Drosophila melanogaster: one gene and its partners. The protein of the gene in region 1 interacts with the protein of each later gene in a pairwise test. Each region holds a gene or a part of one and is shown in the gene's direction. Other genes may lie near its edges.

Region 1 (6,951 bases):
TAATAGAACAGGGTTCATTTTAAAAGTGTTCACACATGTACTGTAATAATTGATTCCTATTTCGGCGCGTGGACAAGGTAATAATGTACGAACACATTATTGTCACAAATTACTAGGTAAATTATAATACTCCGTGGAAGAAAACCGAAAGATAAATAACTTGTGGAAAAGAGGCCGCGGTGTCGCCATTGCCCCAAGCTCATGATTGTTGACTGTTGACTGGAGTTGTTTTATTTTTTGTTGGCCATTATCCGAGTGGCGCCCAGGTACAGTGGGAAAATTGCACTGTCAGTGCAATTGGATGTCATCTGGTTTGTGTTTGTGTCCAGATGAGTTTTATAGCGATCTGAGGTCAGCCGCCTTAGTTGGTGAATGTTGTCGGGGAAGTGATGATTTCATCTCTCGCTAATATCGATGATACATGGAATTCTAGAGCACTTTAATGGCCTAGATGTCCTAGATGGAATTGCATATCTATAGCTGAAAAGTTAACTACCGACCTCAATGGCAGCCTATGATCTAGAAACTTGTTGTTTATAGCCCAAGTTATAATTTAAATACACATATCAACCATCACGTAGACATTGAATGTGGTTTTGTTCGGGGCTTTCCCTTGTCCTTCGGCTGACTGTCAGGATCAGGAAATGTCATCGCCAAAATCCAGTTATTTTTTTTTTTTTTGCCCCCTTCACTTGGGATCTGCATCTGCATCGGCATCTCCATCTCCATCTCCGTCTTCATAACTATCTGCAAGTGTCTCCGTTTGCGGCTTAAGCTGCCAGTTTGACAAATGACTCACCTGACGCCAACTTCTCGGTTTCAGCTTAAGCTTAAAGCTAGACTGCACAAAACACTGTTTAAAATACCGATAATTTAGAGATATTTCTCTAGAAGCCTTGCTAGGTTAGCTTTAAGAGCGTGATGACACTATAGTCTGGATGATATACATAACATTTATCAAATTTCACGCACACCTTTATTACTTTATATTCAACCCTTATTCCAAACGTCTAGTTATTTCTCGCAGTGCAGGCTCTGCTGCAGTTTCCGCCAGCAGCGAGGCGAGGAAATGATCCATCAAGCGTGTGAGTTATGTACGAATTTTGCAACTTTGCCACATGGTTGGCTGACTTGGCTTGATGGCTACCCAGTTGTGGCTTCTGCCTCTGCTTGTAAAGCAGACCCAGTTGACCCTGGTCAAGAATCGGACGCTCAAAGTGGTTTAATAAACTGCAATTACCCGACCTGGCCGGGCCGGGCCTGGCCTGGCCCAGCCACCCGCCACTGGAGATTTATTTTGTGGATTCTCGTCCAGATTAGTCTGGGCCACGCAGTTTGCAGTTCGCCAGTTATTTTTGCGATAAATAGCGAGTGGTGATCCAGTGGTTACAGCATTCGAGTGCCACACTTCGAGACGCACAGCAAAACAAACCAGGATCTACTCTCCGAGTCAGGACTAAAAGCTTAAAATCCCAAACCACACATAATGAAGGTATTCATTGTACTCTGCGCACTGGTGGCCTGTGTTTCGGCCGGATTGGTCCGATCCTCGGGCTGGGGATCGAATCCTTGGGGCGGCAGCAGCTCCGGATGGAATAGTGGCTGGGTTGCCCAGCAGCCGCAAGTCATCAAGGTCATAAAGATCGGAGGAGGCGGCGGCTCCGGATGGGGCGGAAACTCTGGATGGGGCGGTAACTCCGGATGGGGTAGCAACTCCGGATGGGGCGGCAACTCCGGATGGGGTGGAAACTCTGGTTGGAGCAGCGGCAACTCCGGATGGAACAGCAATGGATGGTCCAGTTCCAGCTCCAATAGTGGATGGTGGTAAAGAATCGAAGAGCTACCATCTCTAGGAGACGAAAAATCCAAGCACAATCCCAATCCCGATCCCCTCTCTCCGCACCTGGTTCACAATCCACCCGATTTTATAACATAGTTTTTAAGTACCATTTTTTTTTGTGTAACAAATAAATAAATGAATAAATCAAAGGCATAAAGTTAACATTTTTATGATGCATCATCTTTAAATTATGGATCGTTAGCAATTAACATTCTAAGCCTGGGAGCCGACTATATATCTGACTGAGCAGTTATTAATATTTTATGCATCGCGCAAATGATTGTGGAACAGCGTCTTGGTGGCCAAGGTGGTGATGCGATTGGAGTTCAGCGGAGATCATCATCATCATTTGGAGGTGGAGGCACTGTGGTTACACTTTTAGGTTTATGAAAATATAAATGTCAAGTATATTTGCGAATCGATTTATTATTAAAACGAAGCATAAAATTTAATTTTCGGGACTTAATTAAATGATTTATTTAATTCAGCTTTTGGTTATTTGACCTTTATAATATGAAATGAAAAAAATTATCGTTACATTCTAAAATCACTATAAAGTAAACTTTCTTAAGAAAGAAAATCAAGCATAGATAAAATTGTATTTTTTTATACATTAATCAAAGCCACAGAGAACTTCCCTTATTTCAACAACAAACGGTTTCATATAAAAATGAAGGCCGGATTTTATAATCTTTGACGGAACGACATGTTTTATATATATTTATATTTTTTAATGAAAATGTAAAATACCAGCTTGTTAGTGTCTTCTTATGAACCTTAATTATTGTAACGGAATATTTAAAAAATATAAGACAAGGATTGAAATTAATTGTAACTTTGTATAATATTTTGTCTATAATAATTCATTTTACTGGTTATTGGTATCAATTATATGCATTTGTAGCTTACTTTGCCAGTTTCCAACTTAAAATTGTACACTGTACAGACAATTTTCCTAAGCTCGGTGGTTTTGGCTCTGGGTTAAGCCCCCAACTAAACAAATGTTGTTTGCGCATATCTGCAGCACGCGTTGGGAGCCAAGAAAAGCAATATGTTCACATTCACGGTGGAGTTGATGAAATTTATGGTAAGTAATGCACTTGAGCGATGCAGCCAGCCATGTTTGCACGCCAATTGACATTGAACCAGTGTCTGCGGAGTCGTGTCTCCTCCATTTGGCGATTCAATTGCGGCTGCTGTATAAATGAAGATTAATCGCCGCATACATTGCATGGCTGTAGTGAGAAACGAAGCCGAAATTAAACATAAGTACGAAATGAAAATTATATTAACATTTTTCCTTTTTAACAGCACCGTTTTAATGCTCTGCGAAAATTCAAATTGGTCGATTTAAATATCCATAAAAATGTTTGAAGTAGTAAACAATATGATTAAATATTCAAATAAGTAACGTCTTAAATTACCGACAAGCTATAAACAATATATCGTGTATTGAAGGTTTAAGCTCTATTTATGCAAAAACCTATTAAAATATGTTTGCATTGAATAAACAAATAAAATACGGGAGTAAGCCTAGTATACATTAAATACATTCGTAAGAATAGTTAATATATACCAACGATTCCCAACGATTCTCTACAGCGTCGGTAAATTTGTTCCATTAATTCCAAACTTTACTTAAACCTGCCAAGCGGCAAGACTGAAAATAATAATTAAGAAAATTCAACAACAAATTGAATGGATGGCGCAAAATGAAAAAGGCAAATATTCTTAGAATTTCGCATAGAAATAGTAAACTTGTAAGACAAATTGCTAGGCGTTTCGTGGCCAAATGTGCTATGTGCGCTGGCAATTAATGATGCAGCCATGGCTCAGCAGTTTGCAAGTGGTGCGGTGGCGTATACGCGATGTTCCCAGACAGCGCACATTGCGTATCCGCCGAGTGCGCCGACGTACTTGAGACTTTTTTAAACCAGACAAGTTGCTGGTGAAGCCAGCCGCTTGCCGCATTGTGCCGACATGAAGTGCAGTTCTTAACCTTCCTTTGGGAGCTCCAGCTTGGAGTTGAAGGGATGGCAGGCTGCTGACTCAGCCGAAGTTTCCGCCTTTCGGAGCTATAAAAAGGTGCCTCGATTCTGGGTTAGTTCATCAGTAATATTGAGCCTCCAGCAGTGATTACACAGCGGTTCTAAGTCGGTCTAACAATCTTTTTTTTTACTATATTTTTTTGAGTGACTAAAGAGTTCTAAGGATGCGTCACGCTGTGATCCTTGTTTTCGTGTGTTGCCTGCTGATCGCCTTAACCTCAGCCGGTTTGCTGGGCGGTGGAGGCGGTGGTGGTGGCTACGGCGGTGGTGGTGGTGGTGGCTACGGCGGTGGTGGTGGTGGTCAGAGCGGCTACGGCGGCGGTGGCCAAAAGAACGGAGGAGGCGGCCATGGAGGTGGCGGCCAGGGAAGCTACGGAGGCGGTAGCCAAGGCAAGTGAATATATTTGGGATATGCCTATAGTTAATACTAACTATAATCCGATATTACTTCTATGCCTAATTTGATTTAATAACTTAATAATGAAATGGATTTTGTTATAATATACTTTATTGGTTCTAAAAAACTCATTTTACAAAAACGTTTTATGGTATGTAAATAGTTAAAATGCTTTCAGCATACAAATGTTTGGTCAAAACATTTAGAAAATATGTACATAATAAATATTTGAGTAATTTATAACCTCATTTAAAAAATTGTCAGCTAATATTTAAAATGTATAATTTACCGATGTTAGGGTTAAGGCTTACGATATCTGTAATATTTATATACACTTGCCTTCTAGGTGGACATGGAGGCGGTGGCCAAGGAGGTTGGCAGAAGAACGGAGGAGGTGGTGGACAAGGAGGCTATGGAGGTGGCAATCAAGGTAAATATTAAGTTCAATTAGTTTAATCCAAGATTACAATGCTTTTCTTAACCTGTATATTCATTTCAGGTGGCCACGGAGGACAAGGAGGTTATGGCGGCGGCGGTCATGGAGGCGGTGGCCATGCAAGCAAGTCCTTGGCCGGCAATCGCGGTAGTTCCGTGTCCTGGCAGGGCGGAAATGGAGGCAACAAGAACGGAGGCGGCGGAGGAGGTGGTGGTGGCCTGTACGGTGGTGGTGGCGGTGGAGGTGGCAAACAACATGGCGGTGGCTGGTAATCAAACCACCAGGAGCAGCTAATCCACCGTCTGATGCTGACTTGTGTTCCATGGCATAGAGATAGAGACAATCCCTAGATTCTTCTATTTTTCTTCTATCGAAAGCCCAATTTTTCCTGCTTTTAATGTTTTTTATACTAATAAATCTTGTTTATGCATTTTGTAATTATATTTGTTTTTCTATGGGGCACATTACATTATCTACTACATTATCGGGGAAGTAAAATTATATGAAAAATTATAATCTGTTGCAAAAATTGTATCATTTTCACCAAAGAAATAAAAATAGTTAATTTAGATGCAAAAATTAAAAAAGTTGGCGGCAATGGCAAATAATATACGCCCAAAATATATTTACTATACATACTAGCTCTTTACATTTTCAAACAAAAATTTTCCCTTAATTTTCTTGATTCATTTTTTAAATTATAAATAATTGAATAAACTCACCCATAAAAATAAAAACGTGGGATAAAATTACTTTCTTGTAAGATTTATTCACATAGTTAGATACACAAAAAAAAAAAATGGTTAATTTAAGGGCAGAATTATTATGTACAGGTTGAGCAGTGGATAGTGGTGTCGCCTCGTCGCCGATTTTTCTCGGATGGATGCCGTTTTCTTTCCAGGATCTGATTACCAGCTCCAGCCGCTGCCTCCGCCTCCTCCGGGGGACCAACCACCGCCACCTCCACCAGAGGACCAACCGCTGCTAATCTTGCTGGGCCAAGCGGAGGACCCTCCGGAGGACCAACCACCAGATCCACCGCCGCTCTTCCAGCCGCCGCCTGAGGAACCACCAGATGACCAGCCACCTCCACCGCCGCCGCTTTTCCAACCGCTGCTTAAGCTTCCCAAAGCTTGGGATTTCCAACTGGAGAGACTGGACAGTGCACTGGATAATCCCGAGCTGCCTCCTGACTTCCAGCCAGAGCTGCCGGAACTTGGCCAGCCGGAGGATCCACCGGAGGACCAGCCACCTGAGCCGCCGCCGCTCTTCCAGCCACTTGAGCCGCCGCCGCTCTTCCAGCCACCTCCTGATCCACCAGATGACCAGCCGCCTCCGCCGTCACCACCGCTCTTCCATCCTCCAGATCCGCCACCTGAGGACCAACCTCCTCCGCCGCTGGAAGGCCAAGCACTGATAATGACCTTACTGCCACCTGATCCTCCAGAGGACCAGCCTCCACCACCGCCGCCACTGCTCCAGCCATGTGGTTTGCCCTGGGCGACTATGCAGCCCAGCACCACCAGCAGACCGAGAAGGCCAAGTCGTCGCGTTGTAATCGTGGTTTGCATCTCCGCAGCTGCCGTGCACTAACTAATGCCCCACTGCAGCCACTCTCGACTATTTATACCCATCCAAGATTCTGAGCCACAGCTTCGCCACAGCCGCTGCCTCGTATAATCAGATGTAATTGCCAAAACTGCCAGCGACCAGCTTACAATGGCCAGTGCTTGGGCGCTTCGGGGTGGCTCCGAGTGGTTCAAAGTGGGCCAGAGTGGCTCGGGTGGTGGCTCAACTCACCTCAGTACTCGGGCCTCATTATGCCGGCATCAACTTTCGGTTTCGTACGCTTTGTGGGCCCACGTAGGTCGGCTGTTTTGTGCCCAGCAAACGCCCCCAGATGGAGCACCTGATTTACTTTACTATATAGATGACACTCTGTAACAATGGATTCATTACCTCAGGATAATGGATACGATCAGCTCATGAAAACAGTGGGAAAATGTCAGGTGTTATGAATGCAAATTGAAGAGCTGTGTGGGCATTTAGGTGAAGCTCACTTAAATATATATTAAAAAAAAACGGGTTGTTTAAAATTACAAAAGGACTTTTTTAAGCAAGTCTTTATAATAAGGTAAATATATTTTATTCAATTATTCAAAAATTATACTTATTAAAATCATTTTATAAATTTCAGCCCAAGGCATACTTTTATTTTGCAGTCTAGTGT
Region 2 (6,877 bases), on another chromosome or scaffold:
AACTACATCTGCCCCCCTTAAACGCCCACCGATATTTGGTGACAATGCCCAAAAGAAACGAAAGCGTGAAAATGGGAAAGGAAAACGAATATGTTGGCAAGGCAGAGCCACGACCAATTAAAAAAGAAATATACGTAATTACTCACGCTTAGATCGAGGGACTTCTATAAAAGTACTTAGGCCCTTAGTCATGCCTCAAAGTTTTGGGTAATTGATGGAAAGGGGAAAGCGGGTAGTAATGCAAGTGACCAGCCAGGAAGGGAAGTAATGTCCGCTGAAAAACCTCGACCCATTTAGCTAATGACGTTTTGGGCTGATAATTTTCATTTTCCTTTTTCCGGAAACGGAGAAACACACCTGTTGAAGTTTGTTCCTGAACAGGCATTTTTGGTTGGCAAGGAAAGTGTAATTAGTATACTACAAATATTTGTTTAGCACATAGTTTATGCTGATACTTTGAAGAGGAATTAAGTAGATTTTGTGTTATTTCTTTTCGAAGAATCTCAAAGGGCTTCGAAAATTTTCAATTTACTAAGTGCTCTAGGCAGCTTAGACGTGCTTTCTCGATAGGTTTTCCAATCAATAAGTAATGTATTGATGGGCTCGTTTTTTGCGCTTTTGCAAAACTTTCAGCAATTGCATGTGATTTTTTGTTGGCACTTTGACCTATTGACCTGCATGTCATGTCTGTAGCCAATTGAACATCTATATAAACTTCGCACACAACAAATTTAATATCTTAAATTTTGTATTCCTTTTGCAGCTGCAGTAAGCTTTCCACCAAACATGGCACCAATGCCCCGAATTCAGTTACCCAATGGAAATTCTTCCATAAAGGCTAGCACAAATGATTTTCTCTTTGCGGAAACAATGTCCGGCGACAGTAGTCCCACCCCCAGCAGTCCGCCATCCAGTACAGGTATGGATAACATTAAAATAATACATAGATTAGCTTACTAACGAAATTATGTTTTAAACTTCAGCAGGCGTTGCCAAATCTCAGTGTTCTTCCCTTTCGGATGGCGAATCCTTTGAGGGATATGGCGAAAATGAGTATCCCACCCAACTTCGCGAAGCCCGCAGCTCCAATTCCAATGGGAGCCATAATATGAGCAATCATATTAACAATAATTCTAATATCAGCGTGGGCAACAACAGTGGACACAACCACAGTGGACACTCGAACGATGGAAATAACAACCTAAATGGCAGCACTGGCGTCGAACTCGATTTGGCTCCACACGTCGGCTCATCAACACCTCAAGAGTAAGTTTTTGAAACATTTATATAGTGCGTTTCAAAAGTGTCATATCCATTTAACATTGCGATAAATTCAAAATATATACTTATGTATATGAACACAGTTGTTCTATAAACTGTTAATGAATTTATTGCATATAAATATGTAACTCCTGTAAAGCAAAGAACATTAGTCTTGCGGAATTACCTCTTGATTACTGTCAATTAATCTTTTAAACTAACTGACACTGAAACGCCTTGTGTATTTCCATTGTCACAACTGATGAGCATTTACTAACTCGATTTCGATTGTTGCAGTGATGACGAACTAAACATAATGCCCCGGGATAATTGGGCCAGGCGCAGTCTGCGACGAACTCCCACCAGGTAATCTCGCCCATTTTGATCGGATCACATCTCTTAAAATGGCAATCGAAGCGAATGCGAATTTGCTTAGTTGTCGGGCATTTATAAGGTTGCGCACATAATCCAGCTGAATACGTAATAGCCGTGAATATAAAATAAAGCTGACCAGGCCCAGAGACTTCATCAATTCAAAACTCTCAATTTGTCTGTCCGAGGCAGCATAAAAAAAGCGTATTTGAATAGTTAACCTTTTCTTTGTGTAAACCTGTGTCTGTTGGTTTCAACGCATGTATGTGTGGCATGAAAAATGCATACACAGACTGAAACCAGTTTTTTCTATGCTCTGACTTGGGCTCATGAATCGCTTTGGGCCGTGATTCATGCGTGTCTCTGTCTTCGGGTCTCGGAATCTCTCACAACTCAGCGATCGTGCCTCTCTTTCTGGTCGTGTTCCGCCGTCTCTTTTACTCTATTTCCGCCTTTGTTCAACAAGTTGCCATAGCCGTGGTGAATTCACAGTTCAACTGATCGTAAGAGAGTGCAACAATTCTCTTAAATTATACAGTGATGAGTGTTACCTAGTTATAGCTAGAATAAATCATTTATTTAAATAACAATTTTATATAATTATATTGGCAATTTTAAATAATTCTAAATAACTGCCTATATAAATATTTGGAAAATTAGGCGTAAATTTCATTCTATATATGAACTTATATAAAAGAAAATAAGATGATTAGAAAGATTGCTATATTGCTATGTTTCTATTGCGGTTAAAACTGAACCGAATAAGACTATTATTAGATATCCCAATTGATAAAAATTTTTCTTACAGCAATCCTGATAGTTTATCCCAGCGTCGTTGGGGATCCATGAGACAGTAAGCACCCTTGAATATAATTTCTTTCGGGGTTTCATGTAGAGCTTCATATAAATCATAACCCCCATTCTTGCTCCATTTTGGTTTTGGTTTTTTGATTTGTAAATAAAAATATTTATAATTTATCTTAATTAAAAAAATTATTGGTGCACTGCTCCTTAAAAAATATATATATATAGTTTTTAATTCAGTATTTGTCCTCATCACATTTGATGTTTTCACAAGCGTTTCCATGACTTCGCTTATCTAAGATTGTTAATTTCAGCTATAAGTTGCCTTTGGTTTTTTTCCCAATTTTCCATTAGCTGGTTTGCTCAATTGCTTGTTTTTCTTCTGCCTAAATTAGTTATCAGTTTTTCCCATCTTATTCGCCTGTTTCAATTGTTGTACAACTACATAGATGTTCAATTGGGCAATTTTCAAGAGCTTTCCTAACGCTGCCACCCCCAAAAACTAAAATTTATGATTATTGCCGGCGGGGGAGGCTGTCATAAAAGTTACAACCGAAAAAAAAATTGCTCTCTTTTCTGGGACTTAATTGCAACTGAAACCAAAACGAAAGTAAAATAAATATATCAGATTAACAGCATGAGATTTATGTTAGTACAATGAGAGAGCTCCAAGATGGAATCTGCTGCAATTTATATAACTTCCTTTGGCAGTTCTGCTTGTCAACTGGCGACCGTGCTTCCTGCTGCCATCTTCTTGAGCCAAAAGTAGTTTGGCCGCTTTTGTGAACTTTTCTCGGGGACCGAGCGAAAAGGTTGAAGGTAGAAGATGCGGGTCTTTTCTTGTCTCCCCTCAATTTAGCCAACTCCTTCCCTCTTGATGTGGCTTACAAGTTGGCTGACTCGATGGGGTTGTCATGCTGTTGGAATTTATTTTTTCGCTCATCCGATCGGAGGAAGTGAAGTGAGAGGGTTCCAGAAACAGGTTTAACTTGCCGCAATTGTTAACTCTTCAGAATTTAGGCCGGCACTTTTGTCAAGTCGCGAACAAAATTTGACCCAAAATAAAACTCAGTCTGCTGATGTTATCGATTCTGACACATTTATCTCGTATCGTTATGTACTGTTATATACTTTTGATCATTTTGATCATTAAACTAAGGCTGTAATAGTTAGATCATTACTAGAGCATCGATCAATATCGATTAGCATTTCAATTATTAAACAAATTTTTTTCATAAACATTTCTTCGAAAATTATGCACGAAATCGGATAAAGTAATTAAAATCGTCTGCATTTAAGGCGTGTGCAAATCAGTTAACCCCACGCAGGCTATAAATTGTGGTTGCTCTGTCAACTTTCCGGACCTTGATGTTCTTCCCATGGCTTCTACTCTTTTCGAAGCAACTACAACTTGGGCCGACTTGAATTTGTCATGCAAATGCCTTTGTTTTTGCTCCGCTGCTGGGAACATGTTTTTCCCACTCTCTGCACTTGGCATTCAAAAAAGCTGCACTGGGAAATGGTGGGGGAAAATGCATTAAAGAACCGAGAACAATTAGGGAAAATTGTGGGAAGAGGTTAAAGATTTTTATCTGAAAAAGGAAAGGGAATGAGTGGAATTCTACAATTATTTTCTTTAAAAGAACGAATATTTTTCCACATAGGAACATTTTAAATGTTGTCATTTGAATTCAGTCTAGCAAGCAAAGAAAATACTTTTCAAATCACATTATAAAAGTGATAACATCACCGGTTGGTTATCCGTTTTAATACAACCTAAATTACAGATAGAAACTAACAAAAAGTCAGGCCCAAAATGTGGAACTATCGTCAGAAAGTTGATTTGGAAACATCGGTAAAGATATCGCCGTATTGCAATTCTTGGCCATCGGCTTGTTGGTTTACTCTTAAAGGCATTGATTTGTTGAAACTTCTGGTATTGGAAAGATCACCAACTTACCTGGTGATTCTTACGATTGTCCTTATCGTACTCCTCTTACTTGTATTTAAAAGATTCAAACACAAATGGAACGATGTAAGTTAAAGGGGGGGGAAAACGTACAGTAGAAGGGGCTTAATAGGGTTTTGTTCTAGGTGCCTATGTCGGAGATTGAGTCACTGAGAAAACGTGTTAAGTTTGTAACCAAGGATATGGCCATGCTGCAAGAAGCCCTAAATTCGACCGTAATACCCAAGCCGCCGCTAGCGATTTCTGATGATATTAGGAGTAATATTAATTACTTGGATGAACCAGAGTCCAACGCAAATGATGACAAACTTTCAGAATTTAAAGAAATCTTTGATCCTTTCCCCCCAGAATTCGACAAAATTAGTGAAACTAAAGCGCTAGTACGAGAAGAAAATAAACCGGAGCCTGTGATTCCAGACGCCGAACCTCGAGAAGATTCCGTAGTAAAAAATAGGGTGCGATTTGCTCTAACAGATCAGGGAAAACCAGCCAAAGATGAGACCAAGCACATTAATATAGCGAAACCCACGAAGATTATAGCTGAAAATAATGTATCCGTGGAAAATAGAAATATGCGTAAACGGTCATCTCCTTCAAACACGAAAACGGGATGGAAGCTCTAGATCTATTTTCAGGAATTTTCATATTGAAATTTCATTAAAATTGTAGTGCTCGAATTTGTAATAAACCATTCATAGTGATTTGTATAAAACTTGTTGTGATCGTAATTCATTATAGCCCTATGCCAACCTTGACATCTTGCCTTCGCAAGCGTTTTGGCTTTAAGTGATTTCCAATTGTCTTTCGTGGTAATTTTCACCTATTTCATTGTGTATCTCTGTTTTCCCGTGCATAGTTCCCAAGTCTACGTGGTTGGCCCTCAATTAGCCTTAAAGGTGGCCGGCTGCCTAATCGAGGCAGTTTCCAAGCCACTTTGCGGGGGCCCAACATTGTTTGGCAGTTGGCTTGCATTTCTTGGCTATTTGGCAGACCTGGCGACAATTTCCCGTTTTTTTCCCCCTGCATGTATTTGAATTATTTGGCAGCTGAAAACGGCTTGAAAGTACGTCTGTCGCCAATTTGGCTTCGGTTTTAGGTAATTGCCATCTATCTAATAGGTACATGAGAATGTTTATTGTTGGCCAGATTTGTAGATGTTGCATAGTTTTAGTTTTTAGTATCGCCGAACAACATGTTGGCAGCAAACAAGTTGCATGGGAAAGTGTATGGGATTGTAAAAGAGTTGCCAGATAAAAAAGAAAAACAGTACCATCATCAAAGACCTTTCAACATTACTAATGAGACTATAAATGTTGACTTAGGTGGCAACAAAGAATAGTAAATTAAATATTTAACAGTATTGAAATGTTATCTTAAAATATTATTTTTTAGTATATTATTTTAAGAAAAGAATATATTTATTGATATATGTGAAATCGTATTATTGAATGCTGAAAGAAGAGGAATTTGAATGAAGATGATTAGAATTAGAAATTATGTTATTAAATATATAAATTATAAATATTCTACCATTTTCTCTTAGGAATAAGCAAATATATTTCTCCATTTTCATTATAATTATATTTTTTTATGTCACAAATGATTGACATTTGTAAGTTCACACTCGCTGTGTAATTATTTTAGTCTGTCTGGCAAGTTCGAACTGCAACAATGGTTTTAGCCCTCTCCCACACACACTTGTTCGCTCTTTTGGCCTGCTTTTCCGTTTTGTTTATTATTTGGCTAGTTGGCTCTCTCGCATCGAACCTGTTTGCTGGTCGCCTTTAGATTGGAGCAGGCGGCTCAAAAGTCGGAATGTGGTATTCGGTTTTAGTTCGAACATCGCTGTAACCGCGTGCGGATGTCAGGAAATTTGTGTCGTCCTTTTTTGGCCTGATTTGATTATTTATTAATCGCCCGAGAGTCTGTGACTTGTGTTCCGGTGTAAAACCGAATAAAAATCATACAAAATTCCGCCGCATCCATTGAGAAAACCAAAGTATGTGAAAGTGTGTGTGTGTGTGTGTGGCATTTGTTTATATACAAATGTGTATATAGCATACATATGATTTTTGGGCGCACCAGACAACGCGGCGTATGCGAAACGTTTGTGCAAATAGATTTAATTGTGTTTTTTTTTGTCGGTTTTGTTTTTGGCTATAAATTTCGCTTTCCACGGAATAGAAAACGTTTTTAATTCGAGCTGCGCGCTTTTATGAGATTTCGTACATAGTTTTGTGCTGTAGTTTACACTTTGGTAATTTACGGCGTCACGCCTTAATGACGTCCAACTACCATCATAATAGCCACAATAACAAGCGCAGTCTTTGGCTATATACTGCACATTCCCATGCAAAATCGGAGGGTCTTCGCCGTCTTCTCGTGCGTTGTCCTCATCTCCATCTTCTTCGACATGTGTGTCTCGTCTTTTGCACGTGACTTTTCCCGGGGTTTCCACGGGCCCACGCCCTT
Region 3 (8,378 bases), 2.5 Mb from region 1:
TACCTTGTTGATACCCTAAATACGCATCCGCTTGCTCCATTTGCAGTGAAGAAGGTCCAAGAGGAGGGCAAGTACGCCATCGACTCGCCTGGATCGCCCAGCCAGTATGACATCCCGCCGGAGGACTATGCCCTGCGTAAGTGCATTCGTTTTGAAGGGGCATCTCCTCGTATACCCATCGCATTTCCCACAACTCATCACATTTGATCCTACAGGCGAGCACGAACAGCGCGCCGTCATCGATCCACAGTCCATCAGTGATCCCCAGGTGATAAAGCTGCAGCGCATCCTCGTCGACTGGATCAACGACGAGCTGGCCGAGCAGCGCATAATTGTTCAGCACCTGGAAGAGGACATGTATGACGGCCAGGTGCTGCACAAGCTGTGGGAGAAGCTCACCGGCAAGAAGCTGGACGTTCCTGAGGTCACCCAGTCAGAGCAGGGCCAGCACGAGAAGCTCAACATCGTCCTGAAGGCCGTCAACCATGTAAGTAGTAGTAGTTTATGTTTTGCAGGATTTAAAAATCGGAGTTACCAACATTTAATTATTTATCCATTCTTAAAGTCGAATAGAATAATTTTTATTCGATTTACAATTAACATTCCCTTTTCTCGCGATATAAGAATAAATTTTATCCTTGCCCACACCCACAGACACTCGGCTTTCACCAAAAGATTCCCAAGTGGTCGGTGGCCAGCGTGCACTCGAAGAACATTGTGGCCATATTACATCTGCTGGTGGCACTGGTGCGTCACTTCCGGGCGCCCGTTCGCCTGCCAGAGAACGTGTTCGTGACCGTCGTGATTGCGGAGAAGAATGCGGGCGTGCTGAACGCGCAGAAGTTCCAGGAGCAGATAACGTCCGAGTACGACGACCTGGGCATGCGCTGCGAAAAGGACGCCTTCGACACGCTGATCGACTGTGCGCCGGACAAGCTGGCCGTGGTGAAGAAGTCCTTGATCACGTTCGTGAACAAGCACCTGGCCAAGCTGAACTTTGAGATCAGCGATCTGAACACGGACTTTCGCGACGGCGTATACCTGTGCCTGCTGATGGGCCTGCTCGGTGGATTCTTTGTGCCGCTGCACGAGTTCCATTTGACGCCGCAGGACGTGGATCAGATGGTCAGCAACGTGGCCTTCGCCTTCGACCTGATGCAGGACGTGGGCCTGCCCAAACCAAAGGCGCGGCCGGAGGACATCGTGAACATGGACCTCAAGTCCACCCTGCGCGTCCTATACAGCCTGTTCACCATGTTCAGGGACTTCGCCTGAGTGAAACCCGGATGGAACGAGCCAGCGGGTTGCAGGAGCAACAAGCGGCGCCAATTTTACATTTTATATTAACTTTTTGATAGTGTTTACACGCCTAATTTATGTGCGTTCTCGAAACTGATTGTAGGCGATGCAGCGGTTAAAGCTTACTGATCCTAACTCTCAAAACCACAACTAAATGCTGCGTCGCGTATAATCAGCCCAAGGAATGTTTATATATATATATATATATTTATGTGTCGTACGTCTAACCACTGCGATCTGCTCCAGATTCAGATTGCTCGGAACAGGAAGGAGCAGAGCAGAGCAGAGCTAACCCAAACCCAAAATCCGGCGGCCAGTTGTTAACTTGTCTTACTCACGTGCCAGACGTTGTAGTTGTTACTAAGTGAATTTATTGTATTAATACATTATTTGAACACAATAACCGAGATTGTGCCTTTAGATCACACAGAGCTTTTGCAAATTATGTCACAGATCAGATTTTAACGCTGTAAATGTAGAAGTTTACGGAAAAGTCTTAAAAAAAAATTTTATTGTGTACGTTAAAAATTTGGATCAGAAAAATCAATAAATATTGCCAATAGCATATGTGTTATTCTATTTTAAACAGTTCCAAGGCGCAAAATTTATCTGGGGCTGCAGCACTCACAAACGCCAGCTTCCATCCTATTCACATGTAAGTTCTTTCGAGCGTCTCGAATTGATTGAGAAACAAACCTTAGTAATTTTCTGAACGCTGTGCTATTTGAATTGTCGCGGTTGCGCGCGCAACTCGCAACGGTCTGGTATCGATCACAGCTGCGAGCAGGCTGCCAGATCGCTTCCCGTTCGGGAACGATTTCGCATCGATTTTCGATTGCTGGCCGGTATAATTTGAAAATGTTACTTTGCTGACCGGATTTTGGTCCTTGGCCAGATGTTGGCCATGAATCTAAAAGCCAGTATTTAGTAACTTGCGTTGATTGCAGCCGCTTAACTAAGCCGCTTAGCCAGATATGTCCTAATGTTATGTGTTTCGTTTCGAAACAAGGTGGCAACCATGCGCATGCTTTTTATGATTTTCACAATAGCCGAGCGAAGTTTCAAGATTCTAGAACTACCCACCACACCAACGCTTCTGCTGCGCCGCCAGTCCCACAACTACGGCTACGACTACATCAGCCCCACGCACATCGAACTCAGCCGGGAAGCAACTCGCCTGGTAATTCGCCGTCTGCAGCGCACCGTTCTCCGCCTGATCCGTGACCCGGACTTCATCATGTCTGCCGAGGCGAATCCCGAGATGGATAAGGAGCACCACGAGTCCCCATTCGCAGCGAACCGCAAGGCCGGTGCCAGCGGCGCCGGCAAACAGGACTCGAACTGCCGCACCTGCAACGATTTCAAGTCGTGGTCCAAGCAGCAACGCCTCATCTCCAACGTGCAGAGCGCCAAGGTGACGTGATCGCGTTGGCCACTTCGCCTTCGCAAGCAGGACGATAACACAAGAATCTCCCACTTTCATACTCCTCCAGGTGAAGCACATGGCCGCCGCCGAAAAGCTGACCGTCAACGCCGCCGAAGATCCGCTGCCCCGCGACGACTGCCCGCTGGACAAGGTGAGGCTGGGAATTTCCACCTGGGGACTGCTCCACACCATGGCCGCCTTTTACTCGGACAACCCCACGGACACCGAGAAGCGCGACATGAAGACCTTTTTTGAGGTTCTGTCGCGCCTTTACCCCTGCGAGTTTTGCGCCAAGGACTTTCGCACCGAGTAAGTGCATCTTCAATCCATTTGAAAACGCTGACACTTTAGCTGGACCTCTGTTGCAGCCTGGACGTCAACCCCATCAATGTGAACTCCCAAAAGGAGCTAGCACTGTGGCTGTGCAAGTTCCACAACCGAGTGAACGACAAACTGGGCAAACCGCTCTTCGATTGCACCAAGGTGAACGAGAGGTGGCGCGACGGCTGGCTAGACGGCTCCTGCGACTAGGCGCCGCAGCTAACCAGCGCCGAGAAGCCCCGTCTCCCGCCCGTTGCAGGTTGCCATGTTGACCAGACTTTGTCCCACATTTTGCTCGGCTGGCCCACAACTACAACCACGGAACACGGGACTCCTGCTCGGCGGTGTACCGCCGCCAACCCGAAACTGTGCCCTGTTTCTGGCCAGAGGCCATGCCCACCAGTCGGAACCTGCGTCAGCGTGACATTAAATTGAGTTATGTTGTAATAGAGCGACACATCGAAGGTCCATTGTTAAATGATTTGCTGGCTATGAACTCCATTAGAATATACACATTATGTTGAGGACCCGTATTATGCCTTCTCACTGGCCCTGCAGATATCGCAATCTCTAATCTGCCGACTGGCGTTTATTAGATTAGAATGGGGAAGGCAAATGCTTTCCACTTCGATAAGATGGGAGTGGAAAGATCTAAAGCGGAGTTGGAATACAATGCTTAGTTGGTTCGAAATTAGGGGATTTGGCTGATACTTATATAGTTTTTAGATTTCCTTTCTATAATACCTAAAGGACTAAAGGTCTTAAAATTTGTCTGCTCTGGTTATATTTTTTAATATTTAACTTAATTTTTTTTTGCAATCAACGAAACATTAACATTTTATTCATTTAACATTTTAATATGCTTAACATAAGAGATATAAAAATTAGTGGAATTTTCGTAAGAGTAAGCCATTATATGATTTACTTATATAACATGATTGCTCAGCAATAGTTTAGGTAGTTTAAGCGGGGAAATTTAAATTTGGCTAATTTAAAATATTTAATACCTCAAATTTAGATGAACGATATTTTCGATTCATAATTATCGGTGATAACTTGTTCGATAGCTCTTCGTTCAGAAATAGCCAGATTTGGCGGCGAAATAGCTGCCCCCGCAGCGCCGCTGCCCGCACATTGTCGTGGTAGCCAACACTAGCGCACATCGCACTACAGTTAGTTGCCTGCTGGCTTTTGCGCGTCGCACGTATCACTTCGTCAGATTTCTCGATTTGGTCGAGCTGAGTAGAGTGTAATTACCAAACAAAGAAATGCGCCTGGCTCAAATTGAATAAATAAAAGCGCCCGCCGTGTGTGACAATCACTTTGCCCACCCCCTTTGGCCAGAAAAGGAGCGCCACTAGCAGCGGAGGAAGAAGCAGCAGCACCATCACCACCACCAGTTGTAGTACAGGAAGAAGAAGAAGCAGTTGCCCTGAAAGAGAGAGAGGGTGCGAGCGAGAGAGGACGAAGCTAAGACAGGGCTGTTCGACAACCAGGTGTTTACATCCTGCTATCCACCATCTGTGTGTGTGTGCATGTCTGTGTGTTGTGTCGTCATCAAACAGCCGATTAAAATATTGAAATCCGTGCAATAAACAATAGTGTCTGTTCCCCTTTCATACTTACTATTTATTATAATTTTTTTTTTTTAATTTTTTCCTTGTGCAAACCCCCTCCCCCCACGTGCGGTTAATCGAACACTGAAGTGCGAACGCGAAATTGCGAATTGTAAAATTCACAAGGTGCCCAATTTGAAGCCAAACGAGATCCGTAGCCACATCGCAATAGCAGAATGGCCCCGGCTCTAAGCAAATTGGCCAACAACCAGAGCGCCATCGTCGGCGTGGCGGGCATGACGGCGGCCCTCTGGATAATTGCCTACGGAAAGATGTCCAACAAGAAGCGGTAAGCCCCCCCTTGATCTTAATTACGGATAATTGTGGCTCAACCATGTTATTTATGTTGCCTGTGCAATATGCAATATTCTACGAACATCTTATTGCACAAGGTCTCGGTCTTGGCCATCGATGTGTCCGTGATATTGACTTGAGTTTTGGATCGCTGTGTATTTATGTACAAACAGATTTGTTTGCGGGACATACGATGCGATGCCACTATTGTGGGTCATCTGGCGGACTGCAAAAACTGGTTTTCCGATGGCCGTTTCTGCCACACTGTATGCACTTCCCCCTCATTGTAGTCCGGTTTCAATTGATTCGTCCAGCAGCCGCGCACAGTGGGCCGGACAGTTCGTTTGCAGCTCCAAATACTGTTCTTTTCAATTGTGTTACCCATTGCCATAATCTTATAATAAGTTTGGCGACCACCAGCTTACGTTTTGAAGATTCTCAAAAAGATATTTTTAAGTGCAGTCCCAATACAAAAAAAAAGTCAACAGATCATCGATTCATTTAAGTAGATGTGAACCAAAGTAGCTGGATCTGTTTGCAGTCTATCCCTATTATGTAGATATACTGATATCTAGGATAGGTCTGAATGTATATATTGTCTGGGAGGAATGGAGGAATTCCGCGTACTTAGCAGAAGGTAGACTCAGATAGGCACTACATTTCCGGCCAAACAGCAAACTCGATTAGGAAAGCCTTCTCGGCGCCCTCGACTATTATGACCCGAATAGCCACTTCTTGGCGGCCTGCTTCATTGCGGTATCGCTTCAAGGATTTCCCCATCGAGCACCTGCGATGCGGACTTGATTCCCCGGTTAAGGGCCACGTTTCGGTGTTTGAATGGACTTGGTCTTTGCCGCTAATCTAATCGGCAACGCGCCAGTCTACAGCACTTCATCTATATGCCCCATTCCACTATCGCCACTCGTGCCGATTATGCTGTTGTTAACGCGCTCAATATTTGGTCATATTCGATGTGTGCGGGGTTCGGCGCGCAATTGACCGCTATCAGTCGATTTCATCTTATTGAATAAACTGAACGGGTAAAGCGGGCGCAATCGACTATTTGCATGACAGAGCCAATTAATTAGACAGATTGCGGCGGACAAGTGGAGTGGGTGGGTGATTGCATTGCCAGCCAGCCAGCCAGCCAGCCATCCGCATGGGATTGTGGGGGATCTGCCGTGGCTGCATGTGCCACTCGTTAATTGCTAACATTACTCCGAGTACTCGGAGTATGCCGAGCACTCCGATGTTGGATACCCAACCGGTGGCCATCACTTTCAGCAACTTCTCTGAAGTGCACTGCACTTTGGCAGGCGATCGAAATCGAGCATTTTAATGCGCTGTTTACTTTTTTATGCAACTTTTGCGAGCGAGGTAGCCGCCACTTGTGGATGGCCGCTAAATTTATGCACCATTCCATTGTTCGAATTTTGCACAGTGGATGGTGCAGTCGGTTCAATGGATGCAGTGACTGGACACTCCACAGTCCAACCAACCAAATGGGCTTCGCAAGTGGAGCTCCACTTCGATTATGCTTTCATATGAATCAGTGGTTGAATTTTGTGGTTCATTTCATATAATTTCATTTAATTTCATTCATTCTATGATTCACTTTCAAGTCCAAGAGCTAATCGCTGAATGATTAAGAACGTTGAAAGTTTAAAAGGGACTTTTCGAATGTGTCAACGAGTTTCCGAGTAGCAACGCCTCTTGCACAACTTTCAAGGCGCTTTTTTATCGGTGTTTTTTTTATAGCCTCATATCAAGGACAGGCCCTAGAATTGTTAACTGATATGGTACGGTTATGCTAGCTCGTAGCACCGCCAATAATGTCTTTGCAATCTATCAAGGGTTTGGACAATTGGACAACACACCCAAGCTCATTAGTCCAAAGGTCCAAACACTTTGACTTGACATCCAGCAGCCTGCCTTGCAATCGAACACGCAACCACCGGTGGGCAGTTTGCTTTTGGTGTTGCAACAACACTCGATTGTACCCCTTACCCGGACCCAAGTCCGTACCCATACCCACACACACACACACCCATTCCATGGATGACATGATGACACCCGGGTATAAAGCATAAACATTACAGCCGTGCCTTTTAATGACTTGCGTCGTGCCATCCACAACATTGGATGGAGAGAAGCGCAGAGGACCAGTGGCTTCTGGTTTCATTTTTCCATTTCCATTTCCATTCGCATTCCCGTTCCCATTCCCAGCTCTTTGCCTTCGAGATGGGTAATGGGTAATGGGGTATAGGTGTTAATTTGTGTACAACTTGCTCTGTTTTTCGCAGGTAGACACATTCTGTATCGCCCGGCCCGTCCCGCCGGCTGTTGCGCAATAGCTTGTGTGGCTGTGCGCGCTCCAGACTTTCGGATGGGGAAGTGGAAGAGTCGGATGGATGGAGAGACCTTGTGCCCGGGAAACGCTTGGCCCTCGATAATCGGATTGCCCCGCAAGGCAGCCATTTATCGTGTAATTTGTATAATTCTCGCCTTTACTCGGACGGTGCGTGAAATGAGATCGTAATTTCAATGCAGATTCGCAGCCGAGCTCTGACATTTGCACCTGTTGCGGATGCCACGTTGCCAAGGCCTGTATGTCTGTCTGTCTGCCTGCCTGCCTACCGCTCACTCACTTACTCACTCACTCACTCACTCACTTACTCGCTCGCTCACTTGCTCACTCGCTCTCACTTCTGAGACATCGCAAGCGGAGTGGAGTGAGCGTGTGAGTGCCGGCAGACTGACTACGGGTCTTGAGGTCTACAGGTAACAGCCAAGGCAACAGGTGATGAGTATGCCCGAGCTGTGTCGAGCTATCTGATTTTGGCCAGCGTTTATCAGACAAACTAGCTCGATAGCGGCTGCTATGCGGCACAAGAACCACTGAACTTTGATTGCAATCCGCGGCAATGTCTCTATCTGAGTCAGACGCCAACCGATCTTCTCGCGCCCGGGTTCAATGTGCCCCCCATTAGGCGATCGCCGGCGATTAGCGAAAGAGAGCTTTGGATGAATCGCAGGGGCAGGCGATTTCGGAATGGGAATGGGAATGGGAATGGGTATGGGTATGGCAATGGGAGCCACCGGTGTTGACCTATGGACCCAAACACATGTTCCACGTCTAGGCGGTGAAAACAAGTTTAATATACTACGAATCAAAAAAGGAAAACCACACGAGAGACAGCCAGACACACAGACGGATTGAAAGATAGATAGATGGAAACATATATATATATATATATATATATATATATAGAAATAAATACAAGAGCGCTATGAATAATTCAGTGATCTGCGCAGCGATATTTAAGAAATAACCAAGTCATCACGACTCGTCGCTTTTTCCAGCCTGCAGATAACCAAGGCGCGAGCTTTGTACTTTGTTTGGCCTAACATACCAGTAGCAC
Region 4 (7,775 bases), on another chromosome or scaffold:
CTCTTTGAATTTCTCTCTCACTCACTACTCAGTGCTGTGGAAATGAAAACGAAACGAGACGAATCCGCGATTAGTTAGCGCACATTATATAAACGATAAATCATGGATATTCGGCAGTGCGCTTTTCTCAGTTCGGTTAATAATAATATATCTTGTGCGAAGGCAAGGGAAGAAAGCGATTAAAAATACACCGACGACGACGACATTCCCAGGCGGAGCAGCAACAGAGAATGAACACAGACACGAGCCGCTCTCTCCACGGCGGCCACTGTGTGGGTGTGTGTGCGTGAGCGTGGCAGCGTTGCCAGCAGCTTGCGATTTGGAATTTCGGGGAAAAGCAGGTACCGCAAAAGCAATTAGACGATGTTTGGCTATTACTTGTTGTTATGCGAAGTAATTTGCCTTAAATAATATGAAATGTGTCGCTTAGAACACAATTAACATTTGGCAATCTAGGGCGTGGGTGCTTGCTGTTGGCAATGCTGCCGCGGTGACGTTGTTGTTTGTTTTATTTTTTGTAACCCCAATAAACACACACACACACACACACGCGGCGCTTATATTTCTATATGCGTAAGTTGCGGCTAACTATTTTCGAGTCTCTGGCACGTGCAAAGAGGCCGCCGGGCTTACAATTTCAAAGGGCTAGGGTGGCTGCAAGCTTAAGCGACACTAATTAGGCGCGGGAGCGGTTTGGCTAACATATTACTACTGCTAAATTTGTAATTCACTTTTATTTTCATAGCAGCGTGACCGTGGCCGGGTCGCTTTATTATTCCAAGAAAATATACTGAACACAACACTGTGGGAGAGGCATACCGCAGGGCTTTCGTAGTTTTCCTTCACCTGGTCACACCGCAAGACGCTTCGCCATTTTAAAAATCAAAACAGGAGACGCTTCGCCGGAAAAGTCAGCATTACGTTTCATTCCCAACCGGACACTTCAGTTTGACTCGCCCATCCGTCACAGCAGTCGCCATGCAGCGCCACAAGGAACTGTACAAGGAGCAATCGCTGGTGCTGAGTCCGCGCAATCACTGCCAGGAGAACAGGGATCGGTTGCAGGCGGCGCGCGCCAAAAAACGAGAGGATTGTTTTTATCAGAACCGCATCATCAGCGTGAGCCCGACGCCCGTCAAAATAAAGCAATTGGCGGCGGCCCAAGCTGCTCTGACCCAGGAAAATGTGGCACCCAAACTGGAGAGTCCGGAGCGGCTGGACACGAAGCCCGCAGAACTGCTGAAGGAATCCAACCCGAAGGTCTCCCGCCAGAAGCTCTACTTACAACGCTACATGGAGTGGAAGATAGCCAAGACCAAGGAGCATAAGCAGCAAGACCAGAAACGTCGAGGCGCAGCCATCAATGTGCCGACAGTAAAACAATCAAAGGCCTTGCCCAAATCACAAACATTTCGGGTTCCCGATAATCTGGCTTCTGCAAAGCAGAAGGAGGCGGCTCCCATGTTCCAGCCTCCCAAGCGGTGTTCTCTCTACATGATTGCCAATCCGACGGGCAAGGGAAAAGCCGCAGAACCGATTAAACCTTCAATACCCAAGCCAACGTCAGCAGCAGCTCCTCCGTCATCCAATACCGTGGCTGCATCTTCCGCCTTGGCCAGGCATAAATCAGCTGCTTCTGCAACAAAAATAGTGCCTGCAATTCGTCAGAACAACAATCCAGTGGCCTTGGCCAGGCAAAAAGCAGCTGCACGACCCATTCCCAACACAACGAAGCAAACTACCAGTGTAAGGCAGCCTGGGATTGAAGCGAAAAAGATCACTACCACCATACCCAGACCCACCCCAGCGACAGTCACGAAAGCGAAAACGCCAGGCATACGACAACAGCCACCAGTGGTCAGCACAAAGCCAAGATTACCTGAGCCGCCAGCGCCACGGACAGCTAGACTGCCCAATGTGTTGTCCAAGCCGTTCGAGAAACCTTTAGGAAACAAGGCACCAGTGACACGACGGGCGAATGTCGTGAAACCACAGCCTATACGTGGCGGAGGTGGTGCCGCGGCCAAGTTCAAGGACACAGCTGGAGCGACCAGCAAGGCAGCAAGTCACTCCATACGAATGAAGGCCACCAAGATAAAGAGCCAGTACACGAGGCTTCAGGACAACGTGCGAAAGCTTCCTCAGCTCAAAGCCGAGTTGCTGCACGCAGCCACGCTAGATATACCGCCTCTCACGCCGCTAGACGATATCCATAATCCCTTTATCGACCAGGCCACATCAACGCAGTGCAAGTCGAACAATAGCAGCGGTCATCTTTTGGAGGCGTTTGGCGACACCATCTTGTTGAGCCCGGTGGCACCGGTCAAAGCTGAAGGAGAAAGTTCGGTGAAAAGGCAGTTGCTGCCGGAAGGTAAGAAAGAGGCGTCAGGTCCGGTGGCAAAGAAAAAGTTCGACTTTACGCGTTACTCAGTGGCGAATTCGCCGGCGGAGGACTCGCTCATCTTGGATCCTCAGCAGACGACGGGTGAGTTTGGGATACGCCTTCTCCAATCTTAAACTCAAACTCACATTTTCCTTTCAGTTAAAGAAGACACTGGAGATTCCACTTTGGTGCCAGAGGGTACAAAGACACCGCCACGTCGCGAATCCAATGGAATGCCCAACTATCTCAGTCCGTTTGTTAGTGTCTCGCGGGGAAAGGTGAACTCGCGCTGTGAGAAGGAGAAACGCAATAGCTTCTACCTGTCCAATGAGGAATCGCCCTTGGAAGTTCGCCGTGCCATTGAATCGGTTCTGTACTTCCGACTGCAGCTGGAAAACGAGATCACGCGCCTCCAAGCGCTTTGCGCTGAATGGGAGGCGTACAGCAAGGAGAATGAGGCACGGCTGCAGGAAACGGGCGGCATTGACATGATCAACGTGACCATCGGTCAAACACGTCTGCTGACCACAAAAAAGATGATGCAGTTCAGCGGCCTGATCGATCGTTGCGAGGCTGGAGCGACCGGCAAGAACAGTCAGCCAAACGATGGCAGTGAGGATTCGAAACCGGTGCAGGCTGAGGATCTGGAGGGCTGGTGGGACATGCTGCGCCTGCAGAGCGAGAACGTGGACAAGCGTTTCGATAACCTGAAACGTTGGAAGGCCAACGACTGGCTGGATCCGGATGCCGTGGCCGAGGAACCCAAACAGCCGAAGCCCAAGCCCAAGATAAGTCGCAACATGAAGATCAAATCGAAGGCCAAGCCGAGCAGCAATCTGCAGCAGTTCCTCCGCAAAGCCCATGCCAACATGAAGAAGACCAAGGTGGAGGAGCCAACGCTGGAGGATGGCCTGCCCGCCACGTCCTCGCGCCACAGTTCGCCGCGAGTAATCGTAGTTCGCAACCGCCGATCCTTTTCGCCCGCCCGCACAGTACTCCGCATGTCCACCGGCGAGGGCCGTCAGTCGATTGCGCCAAATGCGCTCCTGAAATCAGCGATTCTTGCGGCCGCCGAGCAGAACGCTGCCAAGACGCCGCCGCCTAAGCCGCGCACCTCCATCCTCAAGACGCCCGGCACCACGAAACGCCAGAACCGTGGCGTGCTCTTCAGCGCCAAGAAGAGCGTACGACGATTCCAGTTCACCTACGAGGAGGGAAACATTAGCAACGACGAGACAGTGGGCGCCGACAAGTTGGAGGACTGCGAGGAGGACATGTCGCTGGAAGCCTCCACGGAAAGCGGATCCCTGGAACAGAATCCGGGAAGGGATTCCAATCAGGAGAATGAAGCAACTCCTCGCACGTACACGCTGCGCAATCGGCGGGTGAATCTGCGTCCCTCCTCCGAGTTTATGTAGTTTTGTCTATTGACAGTAATTGTCCGTTGTGGAATTGTTTATACTTTTATCTTCTTAGTTTAATATTTTTTTGCGGATGCCATTAAGTGTTAATTTATTAAGATGTTGAAAATTACATTTGGCGTTTTAAATGTTCGACGAGTATGTTCTGTGAAAATGAAAGCTTATTTTATTTTTAATTATCTATCTTACCTTGATTATAATTTAGACATAGTTAAAGGAATAAAAAAGAGAAGAATAAATAAATTTGAAATGCTTTTCTTATTGAAAGGGGATCGAAATTTAAAATTAACAATTTAATATCACAACACAGAAATTTGATTACGCGACTCAACTAGTAAAACTTGAATTTTGGAGTTCCAGAAAATTAATATTAAAATATTTGCATTTTTCAAGTTGTCTAAATAAATTTTAAGAATTTAGTTTTGGTATGAGTCTTTGCTAACATATTACCCAAGTCATTCACCTTCATGGCTCCGTATAATTTTGAAGTATTTTCCAGTATTTCCTAAGGAAATTTCAGTATATCTGCGTGTGTATGGCGGTATAATTTAACGGTAGCGACACGGTCTCACCCTGATTCATAAAAGTAAAGGAAGACCACTCGACGGCAATTTAAATTGAATTTTGAATTTTGCTGTTGCACTCGATTGTAAATACTCGTTGATAAGGCCGCCAAATGAAAGTGCACATAGCTGTGATATCGCGACGCGCATCTCACCGCAGTGACTAACCGCCTCGCGACCGTTTCGTTCGCCCGCGACGCCCTTTGAGTTCAACGCATTCACATTTCCCAGTGTGCAGATTTTCTTTTTGTTTTGTCCGCAGTCACCGCGCACTGCATTCAAAACAGCGCCCAACACACAATACGCGAACCACAGCGGCACAGCATACACAATACACACCCAGCATGGACACGAGTGGCGGAAATTTGGGTAAGGATCTGGTCATTTCGTATTTCAAATTGAATTTTCAACCTCTGGTACAGCGTGTACTCGCCATGGCAGTTGGGCCATTCGCTGGCGCGCAAATTGATCTCCTCGATTTGCGGCTCCCCCTTCGCTTGTCTACCCCCCTGCCACAACACCGGCAAGCTAACTTATGAGTGCGTATTGCATTGCGGTGTGCATATATCTGGCAATGGGTCTGAATTTAGATTTTTCGTAAGTTTGTGCACTCTGCTGACGAAACGAAAAAGTGCTTTTAACGATCTGGGAACATCCCATGGCGCTGCGTTGCCAGACAGCTTGTTACACACATGGGCATTTGTATGCTTGTGTTGGTGTTTTTAGTGGGGTACAGTCTTGGGGGCAAATGTTTTTACACTGTAAAAAGTATGCTAACGTGCAATTAGAGAATTGGCAAGCACATAAATTTAATTAGCAAGTTATATTTGGCATTGGTGTGTCCTATGAGTTTAGACGAGTTGTTGAGATGGGTGGTTAATGGGTGGAAAAAAACGCGCACAAAATAATAACGTCAACAAGGGGCTGCCACCCCTTTCAATGTTCTTATGCAAAAGTAGCAGTCAAATATATTACTCTATTTCAAAGTAAATATTTAAAGTAGTAGCCTGTTTTAATTAATGTTAATGTTTTATAATTATTTTACCATTATAAATTTTTTTTTTTTTAAATAATTTAACGTATCGATAAGTGGGTGGCCTATCGGACAACCTCCACCATGTGGCAACTCTGGCGCACAGCACATTTCAGGGTTTACGCAATTTCGAGCCGTAAGATTTTCTTCGACCTGTGAAAAGGCTTTTTACCCCCTGCCAGGATAGCTAAATCTTCACTCGTAAGTGCAGCAGGAGCTATCCATCGCGTAGCTCATATTCTAATCCACACATTTAGTTAAAAGCGCCAATAGGAAGCCCAGAACCATGTCACATGCATTTGCCGCCGCCGTCTGCCGGTCCACCGCATCCATGTCATTGGCCCTGCGCTGCAGCCGGCGCGCCATGAGCTCTGCCAGAATGCTGCGTATGGCGGGTGCCACTGCCACCTCCACGGCCTGCAAGGATTGGCAGAGAAACGGACTACTTGCTGCGCCCAGAACCGGCAACATGCAGCAGTACCTGCGCGAGTACGCCAACGAGAAGAAGGTGTTCGAGCGAACCAAGCCCCATTGCAATGTGGGCACCATTGGCCATGTGGATCACGGCAAGACCACGCTCACGGCGGCCATTACCAAGGTCCTGGCCGACAAGCAGCTGGCCGAGAGCAAGAAGTACAATGAAATCGACAATGCGCCCGAGGAGAAGGCTCGTGGTATTACCATCAATGTAGCCCACGTGGAGTACCAGACGGAGACGCGTCACTACGGCCACACAGATTGTCCGGGACATGCCGATTATATTAAGAACATGATCACCGGCACAGCCCAGATGGATGGCGCCATTCTCGTTGTGGCCGCCACCGATGGCGCCATGCCCCAAACTCGCGAGCATATGCTGCTAGCCAAGCAGATCGGCATTGATCACATCGTGGTGTTCATCAACAAGGTGGACGCCGCCGATGAGGAGATGGTCGACCTGGTGGAGATGGAGATCCGAGAGCTGCTTACCGAGATGGGCTATGATGGTGACAAGATCCCTGTGGTAAAGGGCTCGGCGCTGTGCGCCCTCGAGGACAAGAGTCCCGAGATCGGCAAGGAGGCGATCCTGAAACTGCTCCAGGAGGTGGATAGCTTCATCCCCACGCCTGTGCGCGAGCTGGACAAGCCCTTCCTGCTGCCTGTTGAGAATGTGTATTCGATTCCCGGACGCGGCACCGTCGTCACTGGTCGCCTGGAGCGCGGAGTGGTCAAGAAGGGCATGGAGTGCGAGTTCGTGGGCTATAACAAGGTGCTGAAGTCGACGGTGACGGGCGTGGAGATGTTCCACCAGATTCTGGAGGAGGCGCAAGCCGGTGATCAGCTGGGAGCTCTGGTGCGCGGCGTTAAGCGAGATGACATCAAGCGCGGCATGGTCATGTGCAAGCCGGGCAGTGTGAAGGCACTCGATCAGCTGGAGGCCCAGGTGTACATCCTGTCCAAGGATGAAGGCGGTCGCACAAAGCCCTTCATGTCCTTCATCCAACTGCAGATGTTCTCCCGCACCTGGGACTGTGCCGTGCAGGTGCAGATTCCCGATAAGGAGATGGTCATGCCCGGCGAAGACACCAAGCTCATTCTGCGCCTCATCCGGCCAATGGTCCTGGAGCAGGGACAACGCTTCACGCTGCGTGACGGAAACCTGACCCTGGGCACTGGTGTCGTCACCAGCACTCTGCCCCCATTGACTGAATCGCAGCGATCCGAGTTGACGGAGGGCAAGAAGGCGCGCGAGAAGAAGGTGGCGGCTAAGAAGTAGATCCCCGGAACGCCGTCAGTCATTAACTAAAATCATATTCTTAAGCGATTTTTATGCATATTGTATAAGTTGTTGGCGCTCCAATCACAATCGAGTAAAATATAAACAAACACCTATGGACAACGAAGTTTTAAAACTTGGAATATTAGTAGGGATCTTAAAATTGATTTAAAATAGTACGGCTTTTAAGTATTACTGTTGTTGCCTGACATTTCGGCATTTCAAAGGACTATTTGTTATATAAAGTTATGTAAGTAAGCATTGATCATTGATAAAGGGCAATATTTAATTTAGGCGCCACTCATCGATTGCTTATCGCTCTATGTTAACGGCATCCGAAATAGAGTGGTATCGAAATGGAGCCGATAAAATCAAACAAGGCCGATAATAACCTGACTACGACATTTTACAACACTGCTGCAACCGCCTTGAACGCAGCTGATGATAAAGAACATTTTGAAATTGATTTGAAAATTGGCAAAAATGAGTACCTACCGCGTAGACTACTTGACCGGTAGATTCAAGCACCGTAAACGTTTGTTTGCAAAGTAATTAATAACTTATTTTGTCCGCAGATTCCCTAGACGACACGGAACCATTGCCGGAGCTGAGTTTTGAA

The links.
Region 2: the proteins of CG5172 (region 1) and saturn interact in a two-hybrid assay, tested with the Drosophila melanogaster proteins (one large-scale study listed by BioGRID).
Region 3: the proteins of CG5172 (region 1) and Abcd3 interact in a two-hybrid assay, tested with the Drosophila melanogaster proteins (one large-scale study listed by BioGRID).
Region 4: the proteins of CG5172 (region 1) and mEFTu1 interact in a two-hybrid assay, tested with the Drosophila melanogaster proteins (one large-scale study listed by BioGRID).

Annotation. Positions count from the first base shown.
Region 1 is NC_004354.4:17,217,495-17,224,445, forward strand, and holds CG5172 (uncharacterized protein), read left to right. Parts: upstream 1-3,947; 5' UTR 3,948-4,052; coding exon 4,053-4,278; intron 4,279-4,631; coding exon 4,632-4,715; intron 4,716-4,784; coding exon 4,785-4,993; 3' UTR 4,994-5,008; coding exon of another isoform or gene 5,009-5,052; 3' UTR 5,053-5,157; downstream 5,158-6,951. Other genes in the region: CG12998 (uncharacterized protein), read left to right, coding at 1,487-1,828; CG34327 (uncharacterized protein), read right to left, coding at 5,630-6,292.
Region 2 is NT_037436.4:14,199,182-14,206,058, forward strand, and holds saturn (saturn), read left to right. Parts: upstream 1-4,141; 5' UTR 4,142-4,252; coding exon 4,253-4,471; intron 4,472-4,530; coding exon 4,531-5,028; 3' UTR 5,029-5,113; downstream 5,114-6,877.
Region 3 is NC_004354.4:19,746,596-19,754,973, forward strand, and holds the start of Abcd3 (ATP binding cassette subfamily D member 3), read left to right. Parts: upstream 1-4,174; 5' UTR 4,175-4,542; exon of another isoform or gene 4,543-4,752; 5' UTR 4,753-4,838; coding exon 4,839-4,951; intron 4,952-8,275; exon of another isoform or gene 8,276-8,378. Other genes in the region: parvin, read left to right, coding at 47-136, 216-487, 655-1,275; Alr (augmenter of liver regeneration), read left to right, coding at 2,318-2,713, 2,793-3,034, 3,094-3,256.
Region 4 is NT_033778.4:13,502,058-13,509,832, forward strand, and holds mEFTu1 (mitochondrial translation elongation factor Tu 1), read left to right. Parts: upstream 1-5,499; 5' UTR 5,500-5,601; exon of another isoform or gene 5,602-5,657; 5' UTR 5,658-5,686; coding exon 5,687-7,156; 3' UTR 7,157-7,275; downstream 7,276-7,775. Other genes in the region: mars, read left to right, coding at 979-2,485, 2,543-3,801; mip120 (Myb-interacting protein 120), read left to right, coding at 7,640-7,670, 7,732-7,775.